2 linked regions of the Lonchura striata genome follow. Each later gene encodes a partner of the first gene's protein in a complex. Links are inferred from orthologs where the notes say so. Each region holds a gene or a part of one and is shown on either strand. Other genes may lie near its edges.

The links. The genes of interacting proteins can lie anywhere in the genome.
Region 2: the proteins of CTSK (region 1) and cystatin are in contact, whole or in part, in a crystal structure (PDB 8V57), measured with the Mus musculus proteins. The link is inferred for Lonchura striata from reciprocal best matches to the Homo sapiens genes CTSK and CST3. Residues at the interface, in NP_031828.2 of Mus musculus: Asn132, Gln133, Gly134, Gln135, Cys136, Gly137, Cys139, Trp140, Glu173, Asn174, Tyr175, Cys177, Gly178, Gly179, Gly180, Tyr181, Met182, Ser248, Ala251, Ser252, Gln257, Phe258, Val274, Asn275, His276, Ala277, Ser297, Trp298, Ser301, Trp302; in NP_034106.2 of Mus musculus: Pro27, Arg28, Met29, Leu30, Gly31, Ala32, Pro33, Gln75, Leu76, Val77, Ala78, Val80, Asn81, Tyr122, Pro125, Trp126, Lys127, Thr133.

The regions. Positions count from the first base shown.
Region 1 is NC_134635.1:2,853,374-2,860,279, reverse strand, and holds CTSK (cathepsin K), read left to right. Parts: upstream 1-3,901; 5' UTR 3,902-4,005; intron 4,006-4,562; 5' UTR 4,563-4,581; coding exon 4,582-4,707; intron 4,708-4,823; coding exon 4,824-4,946; intron 4,947-5,035; coding exon 5,036-5,191; intron 5,192-5,261; coding exon 5,262-5,480; intron 5,481-5,558; coding exon 5,559-5,724; intron 5,725-5,807; coding exon 5,808-5,913; intron 5,914-5,994; coding exon 5,995-6,094; 3' UTR 6,095-6,513; downstream 6,514-6,906. Other genes in the region: ARNT (aryl hydrocarbon receptor nuclear translocator), read left to right, coding at 189-278. UniProt on the Homo sapiens protein: Thiol protease involved in osteoclastic bone resorption and may participate partially in the disorder of bone remodeling. Displays potent endoprotease activity against fibrinogen at acid pH. May play an important role in extracellular matrix degradation.
Region 2 is NC_134605.1:22,612,259-22,619,012, forward strand, and holds cystatin, read left to right. Parts: upstream 1-3,989; 5' UTR 3,990-4,017; coding exon 4,018-4,257; intron 4,258-4,730; coding exon 4,731-4,844; intron 4,845-5,843; coding exon 5,844-5,921; 3' UTR 5,922-6,248; downstream 6,249-6,754. UniProt on the Homo sapiens protein: As an inhibitor of cysteine proteinases, this protein is thought to serve an important physiological role as a local regulator of this enzyme activity.

The sequences.
Region 1 (6,906 bases):
TCGACAGTATCTGTTCCAGCAAACCCATTATTAAATTTCCCACATGATCATGGAGCCATGAAATTGTTGAGGTTGGAAAAACCTCTGAGATGGGAGTCCAGCTGTTCCCCCTAATTTCCAATCCAAACCTCCCTGGCACACCTCGATATTCCAGTCTGGATGCTGACTCTCTCCTTGTATCCTCACAGGACATGCTGACCATGTTGGGGGACCAAGGGCCCAACTACAACAATGAAGAATTCCCAGAGCTGAATATATTCCCTTCTTTTTCCGAATAAAACAAGCCTTAGGGGAAACAACATAAAGCTCTCTACAATATCCACATGTAAAGGAAAACAGCAGAGTCTTTTTCTCAAGGAACTGTCTAAACACTTCCCACCTTCTGGAAGCAGAGCTCCAAGGAGGGATGGCCATGGAAGAGGAGGTGGTTTGGACACCTCCTCCATGTGGGATTGTTCTGGAAGCTTCAGGACTTGAGTGCCATGAGGCCGAGGGCTCCCAGAGCCACTCCCGAGTGGATTCTTTTTTGGGAGAGATTCCTGTCTGGATCACAGACAGCCCTTCCAAACTTTTAAGGTGGCTTTGACTGTTTTTATTTCATTCTCTGCCGTGACTTTTTGTATAAAACACAAACTATTGGAATTTTTGTAATACTGGAAGGAACTCTTCCAAGTGTTATCCCTGTAAACACAATCCTGGAGAATGCTTGAGTAAGAATCCGTGTCCTAAGCCAGTGTTTTCCTCCTTTTTGGAGGAATTTTGGCTGTTTTTGGAGGGTTGTTACAGCGTCTCCAGTCCAGGGTGCTCCGTGTGGAGATTCCTGTGTTTGTTTGGAATCTCCTCTCCTGTGAACTGTGCAATGAAATCAGTGTGACCCATGATCCCTCGTTACCCAGAATAATTAACAAGCCATAAAAATATTACCCCATGTAGCTTTCTTCTGGATGAATCCATTTTCCAGCTGATGGTTTCTGTGCTGCCACAAATGGACGTTTCAAGAGGTTTTTTGGGATAAAACCTGCTCCACGCTGTCCATGGAATTTTATCACATGTAGATGAGTTCCTTGTCCTCGTTTTGGAGCTGGATGTAGGAGAATCCCTGGATTTGATCAGGGAATTGCTGAGGAACTGTGTATTTTCACTACATTTGCTCACTCACCATCTCCTTAAAGAAGAATTCCTGCCATGGGATGATCCTGTTGCCAAATGACAAAGAGTAAGAGGAGAGCTGGAAAAGTAGGGAACAGAATGAAATTTTTTATATATATATATATATATCTATATATATAAATTTTTAATTTTTAAACATTGACTTGGAATCTTCTGGCTTTTTCCATGGAAAAAAAACAAACAACTTGTGGCCAACCCTGCTCTCCTCAGGGGCTGGAAGAACCATTTGATTCCTTCTTGCTTCAATTCCAACAGGAAGATGAATTGCAGAGTTGGACTTGGAAAGAAATTTGGCTCAACAGCAGCTGGGGAAGAATCCCAAGTGTTCCTGGAAGCCTGGTTTTGTTTTGAATGGAATGTGGGTGTTCCCCCCTTTTTCCTGCATGTCGAGGGGGGGCTCTGGGACCCCCAGGCTGGTTGTGAGTGTTCTCTCTGCTGGCTGAGGGCAAGAATGGGGGGAGCCCCCCTTTTCCAAGACCTGATTCCAGAGCTGTCATTCCTGACAAATCCACGTAGGAAGCTTTGAAACCTTTGTGTCACCAGCCCAGAGAGATTCCTCTTGTAAGTGGAGCAGGAAGCTTTATTTTTCCCTCCCCTTTTCCCTCTGGAAAATTAAGACTTGAAGGTTTTGTTTTAGTTGTTTGTTTTTTGGGTCTTTTTAATTCCAAAGTTCTCTATGGATAAGTGGGAACATCCCATTTGAAGACATCCTGTGATCCACCCTGTCCCATTATCCAGGGAGCTTGTTCCCAGCAATAACCTCCTCCCCAGCATCCCATCACATCCTGGGCCCTTCCCCTTTAGTTCTGAAAGGAGAAGGAAAATTCCCATTTCCCTGAGCCCTTGCAGGTCCTGTGGCTGTATCCCCCCCCAGATTTTCCAGATCCTGGGAGAAGGAAACCAGGAGCAGTCAAATCTGTTGGGAAGGAGGATGAGGAGCAGCTAACAGGGTTCCCAGGGGCTGCTGCATGTGGGACAAGGACAGGGGACGGGCTGGGCCCTTTCCCCCTCTTTGGGAACTCCAGTGTTTGTCCTGGGGTGGAATTTTATCCTACATTCCCTGGGGGGACAGGAGCTGAACCCCCCCCAGGTGTGTCCCAGCCTCAGGTATCTCGGCCTGGTGGATTCTGGACAGCAGAGATTTTCCAACAGGAGATTTTCCCACAAGAGATTTTCCCTTTTCCCAGCCTTTGTCTCATTTCTGCCTCTTTCTGTCCCCATCTTGAGGAATGTCCCTAAATCCCCATCCCCTCCCCGCTCTGGCCCCAACTCTCATTCCCTCCTTGTTTTGTCCCTTTGGCCCCCAAGCCCCTATCCCCCCATTTTCCCCCCCATAATCCTCCTCCTCCCATTTTGCCCCAAGCCCTCGTCCTCCCCCATTTCCCCGTTGGTCCCCTCGGTTCCCGGTCACTCGCTGCCACGTCAGGGCCTCGTGCTCCGGGCGATGATTCTGCCCTGGAGCCCCGGGGTGACTCAGCCCCCCTGTCCCCACAGAGCTTCGGGTCACAGGGGGGTGGCCCCTCTCCTGGGGACCCCCGTGGGGTAGGGGTGACAGGGACGCACCCCCACCTTGGTGCTGCTCCATCCCCCCCCTCCCCTCCTGGTCGCTGGGCTGGTTCCTCCTCGTTCCCGTGGCTGGAGGGTGACAGCGATGATGATGTGGATGTCCCCAGCGTGACACATCTGGGATGGCTCTGGTGCCACCAGGCCCCTCCGCCTTGTCGTGGCAGGAGCCGCGTGACGAGGTGACGGTCACTGCAGAAAGCACCGTCCGGCCCCACCTCCCCCGGCCAGGGACCCCCAAACTGGGAGGCAGCCCCGGGTTGGGGACACTGGGGACAAGAGCTGGGGTCCCGTCCTCCGCTCCTGCTGGCACACGATGTCCCCGAGCTGCCGTGTCCGGCTGCTCCTGAAGGAAGTGGGTGCTCAGCTCCATCCGATTCGGCCACGGGGAGGACTTGGGGACAACGTGGGAGTTCCCCAGGGCGGCAGAATGTCCCCAGGGTGGGATGCTGGGACAAGACAATGTCCCCAGCGTGGGATTCCAGGACAAAAGAATGTCCCCAGGGCAGCAGGACATCCCCAAGTTGGGATGCCAGGACAGGAGGGTGTCCCTGGGGCCGGGATCCTTGGGACAGGAGGGTGTCCCCAGGGCAGAATGCTGGGACTGGAGAACGTCCCGGGACAGGAGAACATCCCGGGGACAGGAGGACGTCCCGGGGACAGGAGGATGTCCCGGGGACAGGAGAATATCCCAGGGACAGGAGAACATCCCAGGGACAGGAGGGTGTCCCGGGGACAGGAGCATGTCCCGGGGACAGGAGAACATCCCGGGGACAGGAGGGTGTCCCGGGGACAAGAGAACGTCCCGGGGACAGGAGCATGTCCCGGGGACAGGAGGACGTCCCGGGGACAGGAGAATATCCCAGGGACAGGAGAATATCCCAGGGACAGGAGAACATCCCGGGGACAGGAGAACATCTCGGGGACAGGAGAACATCCCAGGGACAGGAGAATATCCCGGGGACAGGAGAACATCCCGGGGACAGGAGAACATCCCGGGGACAGGAGAACATCCCGGCGACAGGAGGATGTCCCGGGCAGGACCCGCCGCCCGCCCCGCGCCGGGGCTGACTCAGCTCCTCCCGCAGCATCACGTGAAGCCGGGGCAGCCCCCTCGTCCCCCCTCCTTGTCCCCTCCTTCCCATCCGAACCCGATGTTTGCCAAAATTTTCCGGCCGCCTCCAAACTTCCTCAATCCAGCAGCATAAAAGCGCAGCGGCCGCGGCTCCCGCAGGCCCCGTCCCGGCGCTCCCACCGACGGCTCCGTGCTGGGTAAGCGGCGGGGAGGGGTCCCCCAGGGGGGCGCTGGGTGGCTTTTTCCCCAGGGAAATGGATCCCAGGGGGAATGGGAGGGAATCGGCTCCCGTGTGCGACCCTCGGAGGCACGAAAAGGGAAACTGAGGCACTTGACGTCCAGCCGGCCTGGGGATCCCCGGCTCGGGGAAGTGTCCCGGGTCCTGCCGTGCCACGGGGGGCTGGGGGCGCTGGGTGAAGCCAGGGAGGGGCAGGATGGGGGAACGTTCTCCCTCCTGCACCCTCGGCATCCCAAATCTCCCCCCTGGCTCCGGGTAACGGGAACCGGCTGTCCCGGCTCATGTGATGCCGGCGCCCGGCCAGCCCTGCCCGCGGGGGTGTCCTGGCCCCAAACCCAGGCAGGAAGGGGTCCCAGTCCCCAGCCAGGGTTGGCAGCGGGTCCCAGCCCCAAATCAGGGTGCGCAAGGGGTCCTGGCCCCAAATCGGGGTGTGCAGGAGGTTCTGTTCCCACAGGAGGGTGGGCTCAGGGTCCTGCCCCCAGCCGGACCCCTGGCTCAGCCTGTGCCCTGTCCCAGTGCTCAGCTGGTCCCCAGGATGTGGTGGCCCGTGCTGCTGGCCCTGCTGGTCCCGGCGGCGCTGGCCCAGCTGCACCCGGAGCCGGAGCTGGACGCGCAGTGGGAGCTGTGGAAAAAAACCCACCGCAAGCAATACAACGGGCAGGTACGGGGGGGCCCGGTGCTTGGGACCCCCAGGGTGGGGAGTGGGGCACAAGGATGTCCCGAGGGTGGGGGGCACAAGCAGGACCCCTGTGCCAGCACCATCTGCCCCCGGTGCAGGCGGACGAGGTGACGCGGAGGCTGATTTGGGAGAAGAACCTCAAATACATCAACACCCACAACCTGGAGCATTCCCTGGGCATCCACACCTTCGAGCTGGCCATGAACCACCTGGGTGACATGGTGGGTGTCCCTGGCAGGGGAGACAGTGGGGCTGAGCACCCGTGGGTGCTCCCACCCACCCTGCTCACCCACCGGGGCTCCTTCCCCAGACCAGCGAGGAGGTGGTGAGGACAATGACAGGGCTGAAGGTGCCCCGCGGTCACCAACGCCACAACGAGACACTCTTTGTCCCCGACTGGACCGAGAGAGCCCCGGCTGCCATGGACTGGCGCAAGAAAGGCTATGTGACCCCTGTCAAGAACCAGGTAAGACAGGTGAGTCTGGAGCAGGCGTCACCCCGGTGTCACCCCGGTGTCACCCCTTGTGTCCCCACAGGGCCAGTGTGGCTCGTGCTGGGCTTTCAGCTCGGTGGGTGCCCTGGAGGGGCAGCTGAAGAGGAAAACGGGGAAACTGCTGTCCCTCAGCCCCCAAAACCTGGTGGACTGCGTGGCCAACAACGACGGCTGCGGGGGCGGGTACATGACCAACGCCTTCGAGTACGTCCGGCAGAACCGCGGCATCGACTCCGAGGACTCCTATCCCTACATTGGCCAGGTGTGAGGGGGCACAGCCCCAAATCCCCCTCCATCCCTCCCATCCCCATCTCACCCTGACCTTCCCGGCCCCACGCAGGACGAGAGCTGCATGTACAGCCCCACTGGGAAGGCGGCCAAGTGCCGCGGCTACCGCGAGATCCCCGAGGGGAATGAGAAGGCTTTGAAGAGGGCGGTGGCCCGGATCGGTCCCATCGCCGTGGGCATCGATGCCAGCCTGCCCTCCTTCCAGTTCTACAGCCGGGGTGAGGGGCTGGGGGCAGAGCGGGGCTCGTGGGGCTGCTCGGGGACCTGGGGCACGCCCGGTGACGCCGGCTGTGTCCCCAAGGTGTGTACTACGACGAGAGCTGCAACGCCGAGAACATCAACCACGCCGTGCTGGCCGTGGGCTACGGGGCACAGAAGGGCACCAAGCACTGGATCATCAAGAACAGGTACAGGGGTTGGGATGGCTTGGGGATTGCAGGTGGCTGGGGCTCTTCCAGAGGCTCAGGCTCTGCTTTTCCACCCTCCAGCTGGGGCGAGGAATGGGGCAACAAGGGCTACGTCCTCCTTGCCCGCAACATGAACAACGCCTGTGGTGTGGCCAACCTGGCCAGCTTCCCCAAGATGTGACCAGCCCGCCCAGCCCTTCCCTACCCACTGCCCTGCCCTCCAGCCTGGCCTCTCCCCTCCCAGTCTCACAGATGAAGGTGCTCCCAGGGGAAATTCTTTATCTCCGTGAGAAATTTCCCCTGGGAAGGGGGGAGACACCCCTCTTCACCTGCAGGGAATGGGGGATGAGCCCCTCAACTTTGTTTTCCACATTTTGCCATGCTGGATTCTGCCATCCCATGGACTGTGCTTGGCCTGATCTGTGAAGGCCAATCCACCCAGACATGCTTCAGGAAACAGCCTCTGCCTCAGGAACACTGGGGTGGAGGTGGAATATTCCCAATAGAAAAAGTAGATCCCTCTCCCTCCACCCTGTATCCCAGTGGAGGCTGCTGAGAATGATAAGACTTTTTATTTTTCAACTAAAATTGGGAATAAGGCTTGGACCAGTTTGCTTTGTGATGGGAAAGGGCCACAGGGATGGGAAAAAAAATCTTCCTTTTCCCAGAGGGGCAAAGAACCCCCTTGTGAGGCAGAATAGGGTGAGAAGAAACTGCTGGGGAATTTTGGGACGGATGGATGGATGGATGGAGTATCTGGGGAGGGGGTGGTTCTAGGAAGGACACAGGGAAGGACAGATGGGTCAGCCACGGCTGGGGGGACACCATGAGGGATTTGGGGATCTCCTGGGATTATGGCCATGAGCGGGGACACGAGTGACAATGACACTGTGGGGCCGCAAGAATGCAGGGAAGAGGTGCACAGAGACCCCTGGGGGGCACGAGGCCGTGTGTGCCCTGGGTGGGTGAGTGACCACAAGCACACCCCAAAAT
Region 2 (6,754 bases), on another chromosome or scaffold:
CAAGTGCACCAGTACTTCACTTAAACCAGCACCCACTTTTAGTACTGTGGGTTCACTGTTTCAGTTGCACAATCTGACCATAACTGATTGCATGCAGTTATTTGAAATGCAGCTTTTCCTGCTGCCCATTACTTTGTTTACTGCTTGTGTGTAAACAACAATGCCTCCCCTCATGGGCATAAGGGCAGATTAACTACAGTAATTACTAAACAGATGTCTGCAAGTGAATACAAATTTCTTGGAGGCAGATTATCTTCTGCACTGGCATAATGGAAAGGGATTCAAAGCAGGTGCTGCTTTCATCCCACAGGTGATGTGAGCAGCTTGGGACTCAGCAGAGGGTTGTGTAGGTCCCATGCCTCTGCAGGGTGATAATCATTGACCTACTTGAGATCAGTGCTGAGAGATGTTTGGTACTTAATTCCTAAAAGTTACCACCAGTGAGTAAATAGCCCTCTAGTGCTATGTGAACTTCTTTCCTGTTACTTGGTTTTTCTGTTCCCAAGAAATCTAAGGCTGTGCTTTCAAGAGGGCTCAACACCCAGACTGAGAGCCTGTGTTTCCCAATAGCTCTATTCCCACTGAATTGTATGAAAGGTGCACTCAGCACTAAGTGCTAAGCTTATTTAGGAGTCATTGAACTTGAGAGGGGGAGTCTTTACTAATCCAGTTGTACTGCCAGCACAGAAGTATGTTTAGAGCGGCCTTTTGGTGCCCTTGAAGCCTCTCCTGGCATATACTGTTTTTCAGCTGGGCAATCACCTTGCAGCCTATCCAGAAAAGCCACTACTGGCTGTTGGCTTGTGGCAAGAACTTGTCAGTATGTGAAAGCTACTGCATGCCAGAGCAGGGACTGCTGACCACGAGTCTCAAAGGCAGGCAGAGACTCTTTCTCCCACCATCACTGAATAAGCTGGTGTGGGATGTGTTCGTTTCCATAAGCAGAGGACACTCTTCTACTGCAGTGAAATAGTTTTGCCTTTGGTATTGAATCACTCTCAGACCCAACTCATAAACTGCTGACTGTCTTGCTCAAGAGGCCTTTTTTTTTTTTTTTGTGAGACCCTTGGACTCATGTGAACATATACAAACCCGGCATTTGGTTCTGGCAGCCAGTTTGACAGAGGAAAACTTGGAAATCTAACCTTAATTTATGATTGATGTATTTTAAAAAGGAGTCAAAAAGCAGATCAAAAAGGCATTTAGAATGTATTGAGTTTGAGATATTTCAAAGGTAATCTCCTACCTGTAGGGAGCATGATTATTTTTTGTGAGCTGAGGTTTGCTATCTCATTACTGAGTGACAACAAAAGCCATTGTTCCTCCTGCAGGCTCCGTTTCTGTGTGAGAGCTGTGCAGAGATTAGAGTTCTGCAGGCTGTGCTTTCCAGCCCTACAGGAAGCAGCCAAAGGCTGTTTTCTTTAGCCAAATGCAGATAGCAGGCCTGGAGGAGAGGTACTCAGATAAAGTGAGAGGGGCTGCCACAGTGGAGATTTTTCTGGGAAGTTCAACCAAACTATGCAATTGTGTTCAAAGAATTCCCTGTGTACATGTTAGGAATTGCAAAGTTAAATTACCACATTTAAAGATATTCTTTCCATTAAGAACAGAAACCCCAAGTATTTTTTGGGCCATGAAAACTACTCTGAGGACATGGACCACAGCAACTCTACCCATTGATGTTACCATCCAACTTCCATCTGCCATTTCTGTTGTCCGTGTCTTCATGGGCTCAATCCTACAAATCTTTCCAACGGATTAAATATGGCACTTTATCTTTCAATCCCACAGACACAGAGCTGTCCATATAACTCTCCAGATGGACAGTGGCCTGGCTGACTGTACTTCACAGGAACTCTGTGCCCATACAGAAGCTTTGGCTGGAGGCTACAGTACATTTATTTGAAGGATTTTCTGCACATATGCATATCTTATAATGGTTAGAGTTGTAAAAGTGAAATTTTCATGTTTGACAACTATATTTTTGAATGGTAAAAGAGAGATGAGGGACATCAAGGGAAAGGGCAAGGGATGTAGCAGTTATATGGAGAAATTAGTAAGCTTAGTACCATAAAAAGCTCACCAGTCCTGAGTGAAATTGAAACATAGACAAAAAGGAAGATGAAAATATGTTGGATATTGCTCAAATATCAACCACAAAAGAAGATGCTAAACCACTATTTTTCTAGTTATACTGACGGCACACAGTATTATAGACTTTTGCAATGTTATCATGAGTCTTCTGCTGCTTAGTAAGTTCTTTAATTACCAGCTTCTTTATTTATCTGGTTATTCATGAATTTGTTTTATATTTTTAAAAAAGCACCTCTGATAGAGCAAGATTGTTGCACCCTGCATAAACAAGCTGACAAAGTACAGCTTTATTTCATGAACAAGGTGCCCTTTATTCATCAGCTGTAGAACATAATTTTTTTTGCCAAACCTTTTTTTCTCCTCATAATTGCTTTGTTTCATGTCCTGATTTCAGGGGGTTTGGACTGGCAATAGTCTACAACTGCTTGTTTCTGTTTGGGTGTCTGCAGGTGATTTTGGTGACATTCATTCTAGGGCTTTGAGCAGCTTGGTCTAGTGGAAGGTATCCCTGTCCATCGCAGGGGGGTTGGAGTGAAATGATCTTCGAGGTCCCTTCTAGCCAAGTCATTCTACGACTATTTCTCTTGCTACAAGAACAACCCCAATTCCTGTCAGTGTTGATAGCTCAGCTTGTTGCCAGCTGCAGGGATTTTTCCATGCTGGATATTTCTGGCATGCAGGCAGCCTTTCCAGTCAGCAGATAAGCCCTTTCCATTATAAGGCAAGTTGTGGATATCCAGGTGCAAAACCTCCTCCTCTCTCAGCCTAACAATTCCATGAGGCATTAAATCTCACTGAAGCTGGCTATAATAAGTCCTGTCTTCCCAAACTTAGGATTTCTGATGGGACGAGGGAGATGTCCTAGGGTGACGTTATGGTGCTTGTATCCCCAACAGTATGTTCTGTTTATGTCTGATATTATGTTTTGTGCTTTCAGAACTGACTGAAAGTGAAGGTTTGTTTTGTTTTGTTATCAGCCGGTTCACCTCCCCCCAGGGTCTGTTGTCTAGAAGAGGTAATGCTGCCTGGCTTGCTTTGCTTTGCTTCCTTGCTCTTGCTCCTGCTTCTGCTTCTGCCTTTGCTTTTGCTTGTTAGTTTAGCTGAACAGTCCAATTTTTTTCCCTGGACTGTTTTTTTTCCCTTTCCCTTTCCTGAATATCATTCCAAACTGCTCTGGGCTGGGACGTGGGAAACACCGAGAGCAGCAGCCATCCCCAGCGCCCAGACCCGGGCCATCATTCCCAAGAGAGACTTTCTGGATTTGTCATCTCTTCAGAGTGGTGAAAGAGTTTTGTCGTCATCTGGTGTTGTTCATTTTTTGGTGCTGGGCAGTGTTTTGTTTGTTAAATAAACAGGTTTTTTTCCCACTTCTCGCCGAGAAAATTCTTCCCGAACAAAGGGGGGGGGGGGGGGGGTGTGAGGGGGCGTGGGGGTTTGTTTTCTGGGGGCTCCTTCCAGAGGTTTTCTCCCAAATTTGTCCTAACCAGGACAGGAGATAATGTTGGTATTTCGGGAGCAGACGGGAAGCAATCCGTCTGTCTGGGAAGCCGCCTCGGCCCTTCGAAGCGTAGGTGAGGCAACACCAGCGCTGCGGAGGCAGAGGTAGGAAATTACTCAAGGTGTTTTGTGCTGGGAACACAACACCGGTAGCTTAAAATGCTCTGTGGCTTTTGTTTTCCTTTCGCAGCAGAGGGAAATAAGCACAAGAATAACCCAGGAAGAGGCAGAGTCTGGGAAAAGCCTCCAGCTTCCCGCGCCCGTGCGGAAAGCATCCTCCTCCGCTTTGCAGCGCCGCTCCCGGGGCCGGTGCAGGGGCTCGGCCGGGGCGGGGCGGGGCTCGGCCCCAAACCGCGCCCGGCCCGGCCCGGCCCGCCCCGCGGCTTTAAAATGGCGGCGGCGTGAGGGGAGCGGCAGAGCGCAGCCATGGCGGCCGGCAGGGTGTCCGCGCTGGTGCTGCTGGCGGCGGCCCTGCTCTGCTTCGCCGGCGCCGTGCGGGGCGCCGGGCTCCGCCCGCGGATGGTGGGCGCCCCGCAGCCCATCGAGAACCCCGAGAACGACGAGGGGCTGGAGCGGGCTCTGCAGTTCGCCATGACGGCGTACAACAGGGCCAGCAACGACATGTACTCCAGCCGGGTGGTGCGGGTCATCAGCGCCCAGAGGCAGGTGAGCCCGGGGGTGCTCTCTCCTAGGGGGCTGGGAGTGTGCCATATGATGGCCGGATTCCTTTGGAGAAAGGGCAGGTCGCTAGCCTGGGGGCCTCTGCAACTTTTCCCCTCACAGAAAGTGAATAAAAGCCCGTTTTTATATCTTGGCTTCTCTCAGTCTGAGTGACCTTGAGTGCTGTGCGCTGTGGAAGGAGCCAGCGGCTTCCCTGCGCTGCTCATGAGTTAACATATGTCTGTGTTTATTGCTAAGGAAGCTGCTTTGTGGGACATGTTTACTTGGATTTTGTTTCCTGTTTCTAAGGGGGTGCCAAGTGCCTCTGTAGTGGAGGTTGCCACATAAAATTCCCTCTGTACTTTCAGAGTCTGTTTTCCATCATGTAACAGGAACACTGCCCGCCTCTCTGGTTCTCGGCGGAGCGCTTCTCCGTGTGCTGTGAGTAAAGCTGCCTCTGCCTGCTTGTCTTGTTGCAGATCGTGGCTGGAGTCAAGTACATAATGGAAGTGGAGATTGCCCGGACAACCTGCACAAAGCCAGCAACTGATATCCAGCACTGTGCTTTCCATGAGGAGCCACAGATGGCCAAGGTAGGCTCCAGGGCACAGCCTGCTGACCCCCACTCTTCCCCATTTCCAGCCCTGTCCCGCTGGCTGGCTTTGTACAGATGCCTGTGGTCAGAGTCCCCTGTCTGCCCTGGCCAACATCAGAGACATAATGCCCTTATACTTAACACGGCAAAGCAAGCTTTGCCCTTGCAGAACTTGTCTTGCCAGTTGATGTCAGAGAAGGCAGGGCCTTTTAGCTGTTTTTCAAGTGGAACTCAGGCTGGAGCAGTGCATGTGTCTCAGTCCTCTTAAGAAGTAGTCATGGTCTGGATCAGAAGGGTATGTGGAGGAAACTGTGTCAGGCCTACAGGCCTCCTGGCTCTCAGTCTTCAGTCCTCATAGAATTCCTACCTCTTTTTTTTTCCCATGGTGATGTAAACATGTGTGGCATGCTTTCCTGTGGGACTTGTATTGCTGTGAATAGAGCCTTGGGCAAAGCACTGCCCAAAAGAAGCAGATCACCCCATCTCTTTGTGCCTACCAAGCACTTTGTAGTGAGTAATTGAGCTTTTTGGGTGGGAGCACCAAACATATCTGCCTTCACCTGGCCTGAGTTTTTCCATAGTGCTTAATTCCTTCTGTTGATGGCAGCAACAGGATGTATGTGCCCTTTGTTCCTGCTTATGTGAGAGGTGTAGCTGCACATAAGAGAAGCACAAAACTGGTGTGTACCATTATGGCAACTGCAGTGATTTGTCACACGTGGCTTCGCTGTGCCTATGGGCTTATGTTTGAGTGTTATTCATGCTGAAAACTTTCCTCTATGAGTGGATAAAGGAGATAATGTCAGCAGTGCTGATGCTCAGCTTTATTTCTTAGGGTTTATTTAAGAGATGTGACTTGCTCCGAGTACAAAAGTGCCGCTCCAGAGTACTTGCCTGGAGAGTGCATATCTAGAGAGCCACAGGAGTAAAGAACAGTGGTAAATGACACTCTTTCATGCTCTTAGTTTCCTAACTACTTTTTTCTTTCTTTCCTTAGCACACCATTTGCAACTTCGTAGTGTTGAATGTTCCTTGGCGAAACCAAGTGGAGCTGCTGGAGAGCAAATGCCAGTAAACCTACCTAGATTCTACCAGAGACCAGCAACCAGTTGTTCAGATTTAAAAGAAAAATGCAATAACACAAATTGAGATGGGCTTTATCAACGCCTGCAACTTGGCTACTGATGTATGCTTGTGCTATGCAAATTAAACCATGTAACTTCACTTTTAAAGCACAGTATGATCTCAACTTTTTCTTCTTTGGAATTACTATTTTAGAGCAGCTGTTTTGGTCTTCTACAGCTTTCCCAATGAATTCACTCCAGTATCAGAATTTTTATTAAAACCTCTTGGTATCCATGTTAAGTGACTACTGTAAACATAAAAAATTAATTAATTGCCATGATGTGTGGTTTTCTTTGATCTTCTGCTGCCTTGGAGGGAGGGTTTGCTTTTACTTGTCACCTATCCTGCCCTAAGAATGGGATGAGAAGAAATACTGGGTCGTGATCGCAGAGGAGACAAACCATGCCTGCTTGTTTCTTAGCTTGGCCTCTGGTTCTGAGTAAAAGATGGAAGCCCTAGCTGTTTTCACTGAAGGAACTCTGCTTTGGAGAACTCTTGATCTTGGGAATGGTTTTGGGTCCTGGCTGCTGTACTGTTCTAAGGCTGTAAGAAAGAAGGAGGCTCCCCAAGATAAAATTGCATTTTCAGGTAGTAGGGGAAGGTGCCAGGTCAAGAGAGAGTCTTGGGACTGGTGAAGGTGCTGAGGTGAACAATGGAGGAGCTTCTTGTTTTTTTCACAGTCCTGATATACAGTAAGAAATGCTTTATCTTGTGTTTTTGCTTTTCTGTATTTTGAAATAAACCTTTTCCTTTTGGTGTGAATGTCACGCATGCATACAGCAA